Arabidopsis thaliana: one gene and its partner. The protein of the gene in region 1 interacts with the protein of each later gene in a pairwise test. Each region holds a gene or a part of one and is shown in the gene's direction. Other genes may lie near its edges.

The links. Proteins that work in one complex are often made in the same cells at the same time.
Region 2: the proteins of ARAC9 (region 1) and WAVE5 interact in a two-hybrid assay, tested with the Arabidopsis thaliana proteins (one study listed by BioGRID).

Annotation. Positions count from the first base shown.
Region 1 is NC_003071.7:18,425,199-18,433,026, forward strand, and holds ARAC9 (RAC-like 9), read left to right. Parts: upstream 1-3,922; 5' UTR 3,923-4,077; coding exon 4,078-4,212; intron 4,213-4,297; coding exon 4,298-4,385; intron 4,386-4,630; coding exon 4,631-4,740; intron 4,741-4,840; coding exon 4,841-4,904; intron 4,905-5,009; coding exon 5,010-5,074; intron 5,075-5,169; coding exon 5,170-5,235; intron 5,236-5,336; coding exon 5,337-5,438; 3' UTR 5,439-5,684; downstream 5,685-7,828. Other genes in the region: AT2G44670 (senescence-associated family protein (DUF581)), read left to right, coding at 81-190, 304-475; CKB4 (casein kinase II beta subunit 4), read right to left, coding at 1,700-1,833, 2,002-2,167, 2,238-2,347, 2,433-2,651, 2,746-2,968; AT2G44700 (Galactose oxidase/kelch repeat superfamily protein), read left to right, coding at 5,817-6,923; AT2G44710 (RNA-binding (RRM/RBD/RNP motifs) family protein), read left to right, coding at 7,704-7,828. UniProt on the Arabidopsis thaliana protein: Inactive GDP-bound Rho GTPases reside in the cytosol, are found in a complex with Rho GDP-dissociation inhibitors (Rho GDIs), and are released from the GDI protein in order to translocate to membranes upon activation.
Region 2 is NC_003075.7:10,242,915-10,251,576, reverse strand, and holds the start of WAVE5 (SCAR family protein), read left to right. Parts: upstream 1-4,026; 5' UTR 4,027-4,204; coding exon 4,205-4,365; intron 4,366-4,958; exon of another isoform or gene 4,959-4,978; coding exon 4,979-5,142; intron 5,143-5,354; coding exon 5,355-5,478; intron 5,479-5,568; coding exon 5,569-5,701; intron 5,702-5,937; coding exon 5,938-6,005; intron 6,006-6,099; coding exon 6,100-8,662. Other genes in the region: LSH9 (LIGHT-DEPENDENT SHORT HYPOCOTYLS-like protein (DUF640)), read right to left, coding at 208-783.

The DNA of each region.
Region 1 (7,828 bases):
CTTCTTCTTCCTCTCGAATCTGCTTTTCGCAGTCTATTTCGTCATCGTAAATTCGGAAGCTTTCGTATTTAATTAAGCAAATGGCTTCGTATTACTCTGGTTTTTTGGGTTGTGAAGAGCCACACTTTTTGGAATCGTGTTCTCTTTGCCGGAAACACCTTGGTCTTAACTCCGATATCTTCATGTACAGGTATTGATTCGATTCAAACTAAAGCATTAAACTTTCAATTGAGTTTCTAGATCTGGTTTTTTTCTATAATTCATTTATTTGGTCTGATTGTTTATGGTTTTTGTGATTTACAGAGGAGACAAGGCTTTTTGTAGCAACGAGTGTAGAGAAGAACAGATTGAATCTGATGAAGCTAAGGAGAGAAAGTGGAAAAAATCTTCAAGATCTCTCCGGAAAAATTCTTCTGAAACTAAAGAATCCGCCGCCGGAAACACCGTACGGACAGGAACTCTCGTCGTGGCTTAGTAGAAGCTTCAGTTACATAATCAAGCAAATAGTCTTTTTTTCTTCTATATAAATACCTTTTTGTCTAAAATCTATAAACCCTCCTAAAACCACTTATATCTCCAAAGCCTCTAAAAGATTTGCTCTGTTTCTATTGATCTTTCTATGGATCGGAGATAACTAGTTTTCTAATTCCGGTTGTCGGAATCTGAGAAATTGTAGATCTGGTTTATGTAAATGAATGTGGAGTTTTGGGGGCAGAGAGAAAGAAAGATGCTAATAATTTTGGCTGTGTGATGTGATGGTTTTGTAATCTGGGGTTGAAATTTTGTTCGATGTTCCATAATAAACAGAGCATAACAACTATGTTCTTAATAAATATAAATTCAATTTCTGTATCTGCGTGTGATCGTAATGGTGTCTTAGAAATCGACAAAATTTATTCAAACTGGTGGTGTTAAGATTTGTTGGCTTTTATAGTTATTCGCATTGAACAAATTAGTCAGTTCGACTGCTCTTGGCGGTATGCATTTTACGGCAGGCAACTAACTAAGAACTCCGGGGAATCTTTTAAATGTGTAACAGTGACAGCTTTTTTGGGCCTTAAATGGGCTTCTCAAGATCCCATATATTAGGTTAAGACATTGACAGTTCCCACTTTCTATGAAGAATTTGATATTCAGAACCAAAAAAGAAAACATCTCTTCCTCTGTATAACTCAATGATTGTAGTCTTCTTGACCTGTAACTTTACCAGAGCTAGACCGAGTTTCAAGTGTTTATATCTTTGTATTACAGAATGTCAAAATCTGGTTTTCATTAGGTTCTTGTTCCATCTATCTTTTGTTTTCAGATTTGTTTTGGTTAATAGTGATTGAAAAATGAAGATTAGTTCCGTACAACACAAGAAACTTAAGATAAGTAGGATACACCCTAAATTTTCAGCAATTATAGACAACAGTTAAGCAAAGCAAAATCCATCCATCTGGTAAATGATTTAATTGATTACTCACAGGTAAAGAATTTCCCAAGACCCATCAAAGAACGGTTCTATGTTGAAGATTCTACTTAGAACTTTTGAGATTACATAGTGAAAAACTTTTAAGTGTCGACCTTTCTTCATTAGCTCTTCTCATCCTCCAAACGCAGTTTAGTATCATCCATTTCAAACCCGTGACCATCAGAAGAATGGTGGTTTAGCCACCGAGATTGTATTCAACCACAAGACTGTTGAGAGGAGAGAGTATCATTGTTTGTTGTGTACCTTAAAGCCAAAGATCTTAGGAACGTAGTTTTGAGCCGGCTTCTGCGGTTTCATGTTCCCATAGGCCATGAGAAACAAATGAGGGAAAGTAGTTCCAAAGTAAGCTCCATCAATGTCTGCAATAAGCATTAAGGAAAGAACACTAAGACAAGTGGACAACACTCTTTATCTTCTAAAAGATTTAATGCAAACAAACTAGCTAATCGCAATGTTTAACCAAACAATAGCAGATGCATCATATTATGACAAGATAAAGCTTTTTTGAACAGAGGAGCAAAGGATACTGCCTTGGTATTTAGATCGCGGGTAGTAAATATCCTCGCATTTTGGGCAGTATATCTTCACAGTGCTCGACCTCGGGATATCAGATTGGCCAACCGGAAGACAAGACTGTCCGCAACAGAAAACTCTGGGGCATCTCCCGAAATCATAATTCTTATACTTCTCCATCTACAAAAGAGAAAGATATCATTCAAAAGATCAATCAGAAACAAAGATGTAGAAGAAGTATCTTGCTTACCATAGCAGCCATTCCTTTAGTAGTGAGAATATAACGAACATGAATAAGACCATATAACATCTCAGCAGCTGATTCCACCATCTCATGCTGTTCTTCAGTAAACATATCACCTAATCCAATAAACATTCCTCCAAATTATACAACAATTCTCAGACAAAGTAAAGCCTAAATTCATCAAATGGACCCTTCACTTACCATTTGATGATTCAACATCTAAAATGAGATCAAGTGCATAATCATAGTAAGGAACTTGACCACTCAAACCACAGAGATTGAAATCATCTTGTATATAATCTTCATCTACTTCACAGAAAAACTCATTCCCTCTCAAATTACAAAACCATGAGATCCAAGAGGTATCATCACCTTCTGAACCACTCACATCTGATCCTTCACTATCCGTGTCAGATTCAACTGCATCCACAAAGAATCAAAATTTATTAATACCCAAATCAGAAAGTACTAAAACCACATGAAATTGAAATTGAGTGAGATATAAGCAATTAACCATCGGGGGAACGAGAATGAAGCTGAGATTTAGCAGTTGAAGTAGAAGGGACAGAATCTTTGTCCTTAGAAGTGAAAACCCTAGATGTAGAAGGTGAAGATTTCTTAAGATGTTTGTCTAAAGCATCATTGATTCGTTTCCGATCAATAGCTCCACCAAGGATCTCCGATCTCGATGATCCACCACCACCCATTATTCCTCCTCCACTCCGATCCTTGTACATAACTCGATTCGATTCCCTCAATGAAAAAAAACAAAATTTTTCAGCTTTAGATTCTCAAAGTCTTCGACTTTCTTATCATCAGAGGAAGAAGAGGGGCGGATAAATCTAGGGTTTGTTTTTTCTTCGATAGTTTGATCACAGAGTAGAAGAAAGAGAGAAGAAGAGATAAAGAGTGCTCTGCTTTTCCCTGTGGTTTTTTCTCATTCTCTACTGTTTTGTTTTCTTCTCTTTGTTTTTTTTTTTTTTTTTAATCATTGTTTAATTTTTTAAAATTCTAGTATTTAGAAATGGGCTTTTCGGATGGGCCTTATGACACTGACAGTTGTAATACAAAGATTCACGTAGAAGGAAACATTTTTTTGTACTTAAACTATGATTCCAAATTATATCTTAGGAAGAAAGAAATCATAAAATTCATTTTTTTTTGTATCAACACGGTAGTAATAATGGACTTGCCTTTCCATCTTTGTTAATGATGATGTGTTTGGTGGTCGATCCATTGTCCAAACTTAAATCGAAAAAAAAAACAAATGATCTAGAGATAATTAAAATTACACATCTTGTAAAATTAGTCATGTAAATGTAACTGAATTTACAAAATTTGATTTGATATAACCACCACTTATTTTCATTTTGCTGAAACATTTGGACCTTTGCATTTGCATTGATTGGTGAAAAAAACAAAGCACTATAATTTGTACAACTTTCATTTCTACCAATTATAATTTTTTTTATCAAAAGCGTTACTAAAAGATTTTTCTCTCAGCTTTTTTATACATTTTTTTTAATATAACTGTTTTTTAGTAATTTTATACTATTTCAAAAAAAGTTAACAGATAAAAGTTATGTACAGCTATGTGTTACCAATTAGAGTTTTTTTGGAAAGAAGTAAAATATGGCAAAATCTATCTAAATTCAAAAAATAGGAAAGAAATCAAACCCACCGAATAAAAAATTATTTTTAAGGCGTTTTGGCTCTCTGACAGCTCAAATTAAAGTTGACTCCTTTTTTACCACTCAAGTCTCATTCTCATTCTTCACTTGAACCAGAATAAAACCACAGAAAGAGAGAGAACAGGGTAAGTAAAATCAGAGAATTTTCTCAATCAATGTCAGCTTCAATGGCTGCAACATCAACATCATCAGCAACAGCTACAACGTTTATAAAGTGTGTCACTGTTGGCGATGGAGCTGTGGGCAAAACTTGTCTTCTTATTTCCTACACCAGCAACACGTTCCCCACTGTATATAAATCCATCTCTCCCTCTCTCTCTTTTGGATTGCTTTTCTTGATAGCTTTTGGTGACTGTTGAGATCTTGTTATTACAGGATTATGTTCCAACAGTGTTCGACAATTTCAATGCTAATGTTTTAGTCGATGGTAAAACTGTCAATCTGGGTCTCTGGGATACTGCTGGTAAATGCTTTTACCTAATGTCAAAGTTGTTCTTGTCTTTAGCTTTATATCTACAACAATATGTCAAGGTCTAATCTTTTGGTCCTTTTAAAAGAAGTCAGTTGAAAAATTTGAATCTTTGATGCAACATTGTTTTGGTTCTTGAATTCACTATCAGATTTTGCTCATGTTTCTTCAAAACTTAAATGAGACCAATTATGATTCTTGTGTTATATATCTTTTGGGTGATTCACATTATATTACAGGTCAAGAAGACTACAATAGGGTTAGACCATTGAGTTACAGAGGAGCAGATGTTTTCATTCTTGCCTTCTCACTTATTAGCAGGCCTAGCTTTGAGAACATTGCTAAAAAGGTTGAGACTTGAGATTATCTTTCCTTTTACTTTTAATTTCACTGTAATTTAACTTTACAACACTGATCTCATGTGCATATGGATCGGTTTTCTTTCGCAGTGGGTACCCGAGCTGAGACATTATGCCCCGACTGTGCCTATTGTTCTTGTGGGAACCAAATCAGGTTGAAGATAATGAACCACTCTGTTATGTCTTGAATGTTAGGAATCTAACATCAATGTGTAAGTGATGTTATGTAGTATATAAGATGAATTTCTTGATATTGCAGATCTAAGAGACAACATGCAGTTCCCAAAGAATTATCCAGGTGCTTGCACAATCTTCCCAGAACAGGTATGTTTTTTTAAAGATTCTTCTTCAATGTATATGATCAAGAACCATGTTAAGAATCAAACTCTTTTATAACTCAAAGATTGCTTCTTTTATAGGGTCAAGAACTAAGAAAGGAAATAGGAGCATTAGCATACATAGAGTGCAGCTCAAAAGCACAAATGGTAAAGTAACCATTAATGCTTGAGTTACATTTTACAATTAGACCAAATATTTTGGACCTCAATCTGATAAAGAAAGACTTATGATGATGCTAAATTTGCAGAACGTAAAAGCCGTGTTTGATGAAGCGATCAAAGTAGTTTTACATCCTCCTTCAAAGACTAAGAAGCGAAAGAGAAAGATCGGTTTATGCCATGTTCTTTGACTAGTGTACTCAAGTCTCTGGCTTTGGTTTGTTTTACATCTTTTTTAGTGTGTTTCTTCTATGAAGGACTCTTGCAGATTTTAGTATGATTAGCTATCTTCGTTATAAAAGTTTGATCTTGTAGTAGAGATTCTTGTAACAGAATTATAAGCGAATTCTCGTCTATCAGTCTATGTAAAAGAACAATGTTTGTCTTCTTTGAGTTCAAGAGACAACAACAAAGAACCGTTTTAGCGCAAAAAGAAACAAAATAAACCGATTGAAACAGAATCGAAGAATAAATAAACCGGGTTTTGTTTTTTGGCTAATAACCGAAACCGAAATAGAATAAATCAATAAAATCTCAATTCTCTAGTCTTCTCCTTTAAACTAGAGTCGATGTCTAGCTCCAACGAACCACCGCGAAAAACCGACCAACCATCGTCGTCATCGGCATCGGCATCGGCATCGCCGTCATTGTTTTTGTCACTGCCACTGGAAATCATTTCGATGATCTTAGCCCGCGTCCCAAAACGATATTACCCAATCCTCTGCTCCGTCTCCAAGAACATGCGGAGTCTTGTTCGCTCGCCTGAAATTCACAAGGCTCGATCTTTACTCGGAAAAGATTATCTCTATATCGGCTTCATCGACGAAAATTATCGCCCCGTATACGACTACTGGTACACTCTCCGGAGAATCGAGAACAGTACGACCGAGAATCTCTTCGAATCCATTGAGTTCCCTTATCCTTCCGAGCCTAATCGATTTTCCATGAACGCCGTTGGTCCAAAGATCTTCTTCATTTCAGAATCTTGTACTCCTTCATCAAGACTTTCGATCTTTGACACCCGATTTGGGGAGTTGCGTCAAGGACCTTGTTTGCTAGTGAAGCGAGGGTACAATTGCGTAGGACTAGTCGGCGGTAAGGTCTATGTGATCGGAGGCTATCAGGACGACGAGATTGCAGCGGAAAGCTTTGATCTAAATACGCAAACTTGGGAAGCAGCGCCGATTCCCGATGAAAAAGAAAGTCACAGGTGGATTTGTAAAGCAAATGTTTCATTTGACAGGAAGGTTTGTGCTTTAAGATCTCGTGAAGGCATGACTTGTTATGACACTAGAGATGGTTCTTGTCAGAGATCTGAGATGCCTAATGATCAATGGTCTAGAGTAGGATTGTGCGTGATTGACAATGTGCTCTTTGTTTACTTCTCTAGATTCGGGTTAATGTGGTATGACTCTAAACTGATGCTGTGGAGAGTGGTTTATGGTTTTGATCTTGACAACGCTCGATCAGTTGGAATCGGGGAATACTACGGAAAGTTGGCGTTTATATGGGAAAAACCAAGTCTTAATGTTAGTGAAAGCAAAGAGATTTGGTGTAGAATGATTGGTTTGCTTAGGAGTGAAGTAGGAATTCATGGAGCTGCAGAACCGTCTCAACTTGTCGAGATTGTCCCTAACGGTTATAGAATGTGTCATTGTCTGTCTCTTTCAGGTTAAAACATGTCTAGTACTACTTTCTTTGGTGTAAAATGATTGTTTTGGATAGGAGTGAAGTAGGAATTCATGTGACTAAAGATGATGATGTTTAATACTTTCGTTAGTCTATATCAATACAATGTGTTACAAGATTATGAATGTGTTGCGGCGTTTACGTCTTCAACTCTCGATTTATTCAATTAATGTTGCAGTTTCAGCATCTTCCTCTGTTCCACCTAATCAAGTTTGTGTTATTGTAAACTCACTCAGTTAAGTGTATTTTACATCGGAGTTGTTGTGTTGTGTTTCTCTTGCCCATTAAACCGATTCCATCGAAAACTGTATTCTTAAACCGAATAATGCAAATATAAATTATAAACCAAGACGAAACCAAAAAAAGATAACCGAAAATGAATGAAAACCGGACTGAACATCGGTAATACAATTAGTCAACCAACACACTTGAAACTCCATACGAGTAAAGGCCCATTGGGGATGAGGATATTTGGGCCAATCCTTCTTACCGTTTTTCGTTTGTTAACAATTACCGAATTAAAAGCTTGATCGCCACGTCTTTTTCTTAATAGAATATATTGATTTTATTTATCTTTTATTTTTAGACCAAGCTCAGGCTATCATCTCTCCGTTAATTAGGGTTTTCTTCTCTATCTCGATTTCAATACCATTGTTGATCCGCTGAGCTAGGGTTGTTCGATCCCGATAATTGTGTCGCTTAGCTCTGATCTCTGTTCATCGAATTTGGTTAATTTGTTTTGATTGGTTAAGATACATTGGAAAGCGATGCCACCGAAGGTTGTGAAGAGGGGAGGCGCCGCGAGAAGAGGTGGGAGGCTTACGAGATCGGCGCTCAAGGCGCAGAATCCTCACGTGGAATCTTCCCATGACGAATCTGTTAATATCGGTGA
Region 2 (8,662 bases), on another chromosome or scaffold:
GGTAAGTAAGTGACAATAGAAAATCGGGAAAATTTGATGGAATCAATCACTATTATTAATCCGATATTATAAGTTTTGTAGTCTAGATATCCAAAGAGAATAATTTCAATTTTTTTAAAAGATCATACGAAACTTTAAATTAGAGAGAAAAAAAAGAGAATTGAAAATTGATTACCTATATTGGAAATTTTTTATATGATAAATTTATCAAGTGAACGACTGATTAGGAGTCGAAGAGTTTGCAACATCCTTCTTGACAACAACGACCTCGTTTTTAGTCTTCCTCCTTTTCTTCTTCCTGTACGGAATCCCACGAGCCTTGGCTTGAGATTCTCTCACTTCCCTCAAGTGAACCCGGATCGACCCGTTTGCAAACGGGTTAGTATCAGGTGACCCGCCACCGTGTTCCTCGTAAGCAGCTCTTAGCCGTCCGATCAAAGCATCTAGGCTTCCCCAAGCTTGTTTGAGAGGACACGTGCACGGACCTGGTGGATCCGGTTGTCCGAAGAAGACACAAGCTTGATGATGTACTTTGGTCTTACCAAACTGATCTAAGTACCTTAGGAAACTTAGCACGTGCGTGTAGTCGAATTGAGACATCATCAACGGTGGATTTTGTGATTTTAGGTATTGGACGAACGTGTTCCAGTCGCGGCGTTTCTGCGATTCATAGCGGCTGAGTGGTTGCTGCGGTTGAGGAGGAAGTGGTTGCTTGTGGTGGTTGGAGGAAGAAGACGGATGATCCGGTGGATCTTTCGTCGGTGTGTGACGATCCGAAGACATTATTAGGGGAATTCTGATTTTTTGTTTGTTTGTTTTGATATTATATATTTGGTTTATGAGCAAATTGAAGGTTTAAAAGCAACAATAAAGTAAGGGAAAGAAAGAGAGATACTGAGAAATAATGGAATGGGAGAGAGAATTATTCACGAAAAAATGATTACGATGTATATATATATAAGTGACAATAATAAATTTCTCTCCTTTCATATTTTCATGCGAAACCAAAATAATTTATTTAAGAATTTCAAAACTATGCATTATATCAGTAACTTATAATAAGTTACTTATTGAGTCAAATGCAAACATTTTCCAGTAATGGTGAGTTTATTATACCGTTTTGTAACCTATAGTGTTTAGTTTTTCCACGTACGTGTCCTAACAAAAATAATAATAATCAGAATATCACTTTAGTTAATTTCTTATCTTAGTTAATTACGCTATAATAACTAAATATCATGTAACTCAGTATAAAAATATTACAGACATATATAATGATTTCTTTACAACAAAAACTAATATTTAAAATCAATCGTTATAAAACCAGAGTTATTTTTATTTAGTTTTATTTTGATTTTACTATTATTTTAGATAATGTGAATGCTCTGTTAATTTTATAGACAAACAAATATTTATATATTTGAATAGAAGAAGATCTATTCAATGAGATTTTATCCTATTTTCATATATTTGGTTATATATTATGTTTGTATTTTGTTAATGCTATGTTCACACGTTACTTTCTATGACTTTTTTTGTCATCATCCAAGAAAATTAATATATCAACGTTCACAAAACAATCAAATATCGACTTTGTAATAATATATACTACAAATTAGTACGCGTTATTATTATATAGAGCAAAAAGAGAGAATATATTTCAATGGATGGGACCCGTGAGAAGGTGCTTTCGTTCCTTTTATAAATTTTATTCCAAATGATCAAAATTTGTTATTTTATTTGGTTTGTTAATTATCTTTTTTGGTCACTGATGTGGCTAGCTATTTACTTTACACACTGTTATGATATACTCTTCTTTTAAAATTCCTTAAGAAAATATTAGTTTAAGCTATCCATTGTACGACTAGCAACCAAATCAATCATTATAAGTTTTAATAATGGTTTATTAATTAATTTCTCCAACTTGCTTAATTTAGTGGCTATTGTTGAATTATGGAGCCTATTACATCTATAACTTTATACATAAGAAATAGATAATGAAATAATTATAATAATTACAACAATAACGTTGATGAATGATGACGACATTGACCGTCATCATCCTACTCGTAGCAATACCTACTAAGTTTGTTTCTCCTCTTTATTTTCGAAAATCCAACGGTATTCCAATTTGTGATGATTTCTATAAAAGTGCTTTTTCATATACGTGAAATGAAAAAATAGTAACACCATATTCATATATTAGTTGATACTTTGTAGTTGTATATACGTGGAATATTAACTATAATAACATATCTTTGACGATACAATGAGTGATTGCTTAAGCATAAATGTGTCTGAAAGTGGACGACGCATAATATATAGATTTCCATTATCTTACCCATGAATGTTAAAAGGGACAAAACAATCCTCGGTCTTTTCTTTTGATAATGCTTTACAATTTTTAAGGTACAATTCAATGACTATTACGTGTATATGTGTTCAAGTTATTGAAATTAATTTTCAAATCAATACGTGTCGATGACTGACATATACACAACTTCAAAATAGAAATGTAGCCAATCTATTAATGTGTTGTTAAGAAAAAGGCAACCCTACTAGAATGTGTACTTATTGTGTATAACTATTGTTTTCTCACGGACAAGAAGTACTAGTTCAAGGAATAAGTTCAAAGACAGAAATACATAAAAAGCATGAAAATAGTGAAATAAAAGAGAAGACATAATAATTAAAGACGCGCATATATATTATTTGATACACACATTTAGTACCCTTTGTCGGGAATAAAAATACTGCAGACGGTGAAATCAAGATTCCGGTGACCGGAGAACAGGAATCCGACGAGAAAAACCCTAAGTAAAAAGCAAGATTTTGTAAGAGAAGATCTTGTGTGGGGCTATATATCTTTCGATATACTTTTGTCACAACATCAATAGAAATCCACTCAATACCAAAACAAAAGATAAGTATAAAAAGGTAATAAATAAAAATTCACGTGGGACTTGGGTCCATCTGTTTTTTCACCTGGGAACATATGATTCATATATATCTATTGTATTTGTATTTTTTTTTGCCCTTAGCAAGAATGCCTTTTCTTTTGTTAAGAAAGTTACAAGACTGTCTATATTGCATTTTTTTCCTTTAGTTATGATACGAAATGATGGCGTAAGTCGTGACTAGTAATCAATCATCTTTTAAGTTAATGGAAAGAAAAACCGTTGGAATGAATATGCCATTGCAGTGTGTTACCAGTAATAAACCATGTAAAATCTTCTATAATGTGCTCTAAAGCTACTTTGAAACAAGTTTCTCTGTATTTTTTTTCTTTCTTTCTAATATCAACCAGAAGACAAAAAAAGATAATATATATGAATGTTGGTTTTGTTGTATTCATAAAAGACATAGAGAAATCATATCTCAAATTTTCCAACTTTTTTAGTGATAAAAATACTCGACACTCTACAGTTTCTGAAGATTGGTATGCAGGGCCGGCCCAAGTCTTTTTGTTGCTTAAAGCAAAAATGTGTTTGACCCATTAATAATGAGGTATTGAGGAAAAAAAATCAAATTCTGACAAAAGTTAGACTCAAACTAGACACATAGAAGAAGGTTATTCAAAGCGTTGACCACTATACCACCAACAATTTTACAATTTGATGCCTCAAATTTTGTTACTAAAATGTGATGCCTAAAGCCCTAGCTTCACCATCTTTAGCTCTGGGCCGGGCCTGTTGGTATGTTATATAGCCCACAATCCTTTGGTTACATAAAAAGTATAAAAATAATAATTCATCAGCTAATTTTATATTGGTATGATAATATTTTGTTTGTGAACAAATTCTATGAGTCATATTTTTTTCAGTTTTTTTTCCTTCTTTGTAAAGTAAGAGCCCAGCAATAGTATGATAAAATAAGCTATTGAGCCTAATAACGATAAGCCCAATTAAGGCCCGTATACATGTTATTATCTCAGGCCCATACATAATTACAAAAAAAGTTAGGGACGTAAGAACAAATAAAAATGAGAAATTATCTGGAAAAGCTGAATCAAATGTACAGACACATGAGACTGAGAATCTAACTTTAGGCTTCTCTAATTATGATTCATCAGAGACTTTAATTAATTAGGTTTCAAATTTCTAATAAAGAAGAAGAGTCAAAGTGATTAAATTAAATGGTCACAGCTTTTATTTATTAAGCTCTGTTTCATTTCTGCTGCGGGAGAGAGAAAGAGAGAGAGACAATGCCGTTGGTGAGGTTCAAGATACGGAACGAGCTAAGCTTAGGTGGGCCGGAGATTCAACGTAGCGCCTCCGTGGAAGATGAGGAACCTAAGGCGATTCTCGGCGCTGTTGAAGTAGCTGGACTCATCGGTATTCTTCGTCAGTTAGGCGATCTCGCTGAGTATGTTCTCGTTTTCGACTGTTGCATACATACAGAAGATTGAAATTTTGATACTTGTAGCTGATTTTGTAGGTTTTGAAGTTGTTTCGTGTGATTAGGATGAGTTTTAGCTCATCAATTTTATCTTTAGTTTGAGTATTAGGGGTTTCAGTAACATGCTATATAATTTGATTTTCTTCAGGGCTTAGGGCTTTTCGCAAAAGTTTTGATATTTGAGCTTAGTTCGTAGACTTAGTAACAAATTAATTGTCTTTGAGTAAGTGTAAGTCTTATTTATTGAATGATGAGTTATGTCCTTGAAGTACCTCAATATAGTTGTTAACTTGAGTATCAGCTGAAATGAAGTAAAGATTGGGAATTTATGTGGACATCTAATCTATTGATGATGAGAAACTAAAGTTTCTTACTTAACTAGGAATTATGAGGTTTTGGTTGTTTACCCGGGGAGGTTAGTGAATTGGCATAGTGCGTTTTGCAAACAGACGTTAATCTCCCATAATCAAAATTCTTTTTTAGTCTTTTGTATCATTCCTCCATGGAACGAAACATAGATGGTCAAGTGAATGTAAACTGATAGAGAGTTCTTTAACCAGGTGGCATTTCTTACATGTAGATTTTCTGCAGAAGTATTTAACGGCTTACAAGAAGAAGTAACTGTAACGGCATCTAGGTGTCAGAAGTTGACAAGCCGTGTTAGACGGATAGAGTCAGCGCTCTCACCTCTTGAAAAGGCTGTTCTATCGCAGACAAGCCACATACATTTTGCATACACTGCAGGTATGGCTTTACTCTTATCTATAAGCTTCAGGTCTTATTTTAGATTTTCTAGTTTGAAGGTTCTCTATGTAGTTATACTGTCATGCACCTCACTTGTGTATAGGGATGAAAGCTTTTATGAACACATAGTCTCCACAATTTGTGTGACATATTTTTTATGAGCTTTTGTACAGAAAAAAATTCTTAGTCTTTTGTTTTTGTTTCTGCTGTAGGCTCTGAGTGGCATCCTCGTATAAGGAATGGACATAGTCATTTTGTTCAGAGTGATTTGCCTCTGTGTGTTATGGAAAGTTATGAGCAATGCAGAGATCCTCCTCCTTTGCATCTGCTTGACCGGTAAGGGACAAGCTTTTAGTTCATCCTAATATATATAGAAAATGCATTGGATCTTTATTCTGAAGTGGCTGCTTTTCTTCCTCCTTGCAGATTTGCTGTAGGTGGTCCTGGATCGTGTCTGAGAAAATACTCAGACCCAACATTCTTTAGAAAGGAGTTAAGCAACCCCAGTAAAACAGATGATATCAAAGTCCAGAGAGATCAGGCTCACCGCAAAAGAAAGGTTTGTAATTATCTTTTTTTTTTTGGTTTAGGTTATACTAAGAGTTTCTTTTCTGGTTATGAGCTCTTTTCGTCTTCTTACAACTGTACCTCGTACCAGAATGGACTAGTAAAGAATCGTGTGACCTGATAAAATATATTTCGTTAGACATCTCAACGGCTATGGTTTTTTATTCTTGTGCTTTTTTGGCTATCGTCTGCTGACTTACCTGATTTGTGCTTTTGCTGAAATGACAGAAAAAGAGGTTACCACAAAGAAACATTTGCAGATCAAATGCAGTGTCTACATCTGATGAAACTAATGGGTGGGTTATTTTAAAATATAGATGTAGTAGTTCTCGTCCATTGAAGTGTAGTCGATCCTGACAATTTCTTTTGTTAACCTGAATTTCTGTGCAGCGCTCATCTCAGTTCTTTTACTGATGACAGACCAACAACTTCTCGGAGTACGTCCACAGTTGACATGCCACGTAGCTCTAATATGCAAGATTTATCGGATATTGTAGACCAATCTTATCTGCAAGGGCAGTCAGGTGCGCAAGAACAAAGTGAAGCACAAGTACAATCAGATTTCCAAGAGTCATCAAAAGCTCGTGATTCTATAACTGGTTCAGGTTATATAGAGTATGTCATTAATCAAAGTCCTGTTGATAAGCCTGAAGTGAAGCTAGTAGAGGGATTCCTGTCTGGGTCCTTATGTCCTGCTGATAGAATAGGTTCAACTGTTCCCGAAGGCTGCATTGAAGTGGTAGATGATAATATCCTATATAGCCCCTCAGAAGACCTACTTGTGCCTTCTGCTTCTAATGTTTGTGATGAGAAGAAAGAAACACTTGAATCGATGGTGGAGAAAAGCCGCAAAGATGATGAACCATCAGAGCTACATGAGTCAAAATTTGGCCCAGTAACACCAGACAGGGTAAGGCAAAATCAAAGGGACTTTGATAGGACATATATTTTGTTTGATGAGGTAGATATTGTGGGAGAAAAACAAAGTAAGAGCCAGGCCAACAATATTGATGGAACACTAGGAATTGAGAACGAAGGAGAAGATAAGAGTGAACAAGAGAGTGAAGCAGATGAGTTTGTTGATGCTCGTAATACAATTGAATCAGAATCGGAGAGTGATATTGATGGAGTACCAAAACCGAAATTGGAGCATTACTTTGGGGATATTAGTACTTATTGTTCGGAAGATGCTAACAGTGACAACAATGATGGATCAGAAGATATAACATATGAAGAAATGGCACATGATCCACGCCATGAAAATTCTGAAGATGAATCTTGTTCAGGTTCTTACCTTCCTGAAGACTCAAATGTTTCCAGTTGCCTATCAGATCCAGTGTGTGAGGAAACTCTGTTTCATGATGAGAATTCTCAAAAGCCATGGGAATTTTTTACCATGTGCCCTTCGTTATTGGCTGAAAAAGCCGTTCCGGATGTAACAATTTTGCGAGAAGAACCTGTCATGGCACATCCCTTGTTTGCAGGAGACTCTGCTAATGAAAAGATATCATCTGAAGAACGTATTATCTCATGCCCGTCTCTGAAAGATGCTATTCCTGCTGAAAAGATCTTGCCAGAAGAACATTTGGTCAACTATCCATCTCTTGAAGCTATTCCCCATGAAAAGATCTTGCCAGGAGAGTCTATTGCCAAATATCCTTCTTTTGCAGAAATCATACCGCAAGAAAAGATCTTGTCTGAAAAGTCTTTGGAAGAAGCTGTGCTTGACAATATGACCCCAGCAGGAGAACCTGATGCTGCTCATCCATCATTTCCCAAAGCTGTTCAAGACAAGAAAATCTCACCAGAAGTTCTTGATTCGAAAATATTTTCTGTGCCAAAAGCTGTTTCACAAGAGCCAATCTCCCTTGAAGAATTTGTTAGGATACATCCATGTTTGGCTGAAGCTGTTCCTGATGAAAGGTTCTTGATAGAAGAACCTCCCAGCACATGTTTGTCTTTGACAAAAGCCATGCCTACTGAAATATTATTGCCAGAAAAAACTTTGGAATCGTCTCATTATTTGGAAGAATTGCCTGAAGAAGATATCTTGCAAGAAAAATCTGTTGATTCTACACATCCATCTTGTGCCAAAGCTGCTGCAGAAACAAATCTATCACCAGAAGTTCTTGATTCCACAAAATTGTCTGTGGCAGAAGCTGTTCCGCAAGAACAAGTCTCACTTGAAGAATTTGTTGGCATCAATCCGTGTTTGGTAGAAGCGGTTCCTGATGAAAGGCTCTTGCCAGAAGAACCTGACACCACATATCTGTCTTTGACAAAAGCCGTGGCTATTGAAAAGGTCTTGTCAGAAGAGCTTTTGGAAACATATCCTTCTTTGGCAGAATTGCCTGAAGAAGAGTTTTTGCAGGAAGAAACTGATGATGCCACACATACATCTGAAGCTGTTAGTGATGAAGAAATCTCCCAAGAAGTTTCTGATTCCACAAATTTGTCTCTTGAAGAAGCTCTTCCACTAGAGCACATCTCACATGAAGAATTTGTTGGCATAGATCAGTGTTTGGTAGAAGTGGCTCCTGAGGAAAGGTTCTTGCCAGAAGAACCTGTCATCACATGTCTCTCTTTGACAATGGAAGGAGTCTTGTCAGAAAAGTCTCCCGAAACGTATCCTTCTTTGTCAGAATTGCCTGAAGAAAAGATTTTGGATGAAGAAGCTGATGATGCCATGCACCCATGTCTTTCTGAAGCTGTTAGTGATGAACAAAGCTCACCTAACGTTCTTGGTTCCACAAATTCGCCTGTGGCAGAAGCTGTTCCACAAGCGCAAATCTCAGTTGAAGAATTTGTTGGCATAGATCCATGTTTGGTAGAAGCTGTTCCTGATATGAGGGATTTGCCAGAAGAACATATCACCTCATGTATCTATTTAACAAATGTGGTGCCTATCGAAGAAGTCTTGCCAGAAGAACCTTTTGAAGCGTGTGCATCTTTG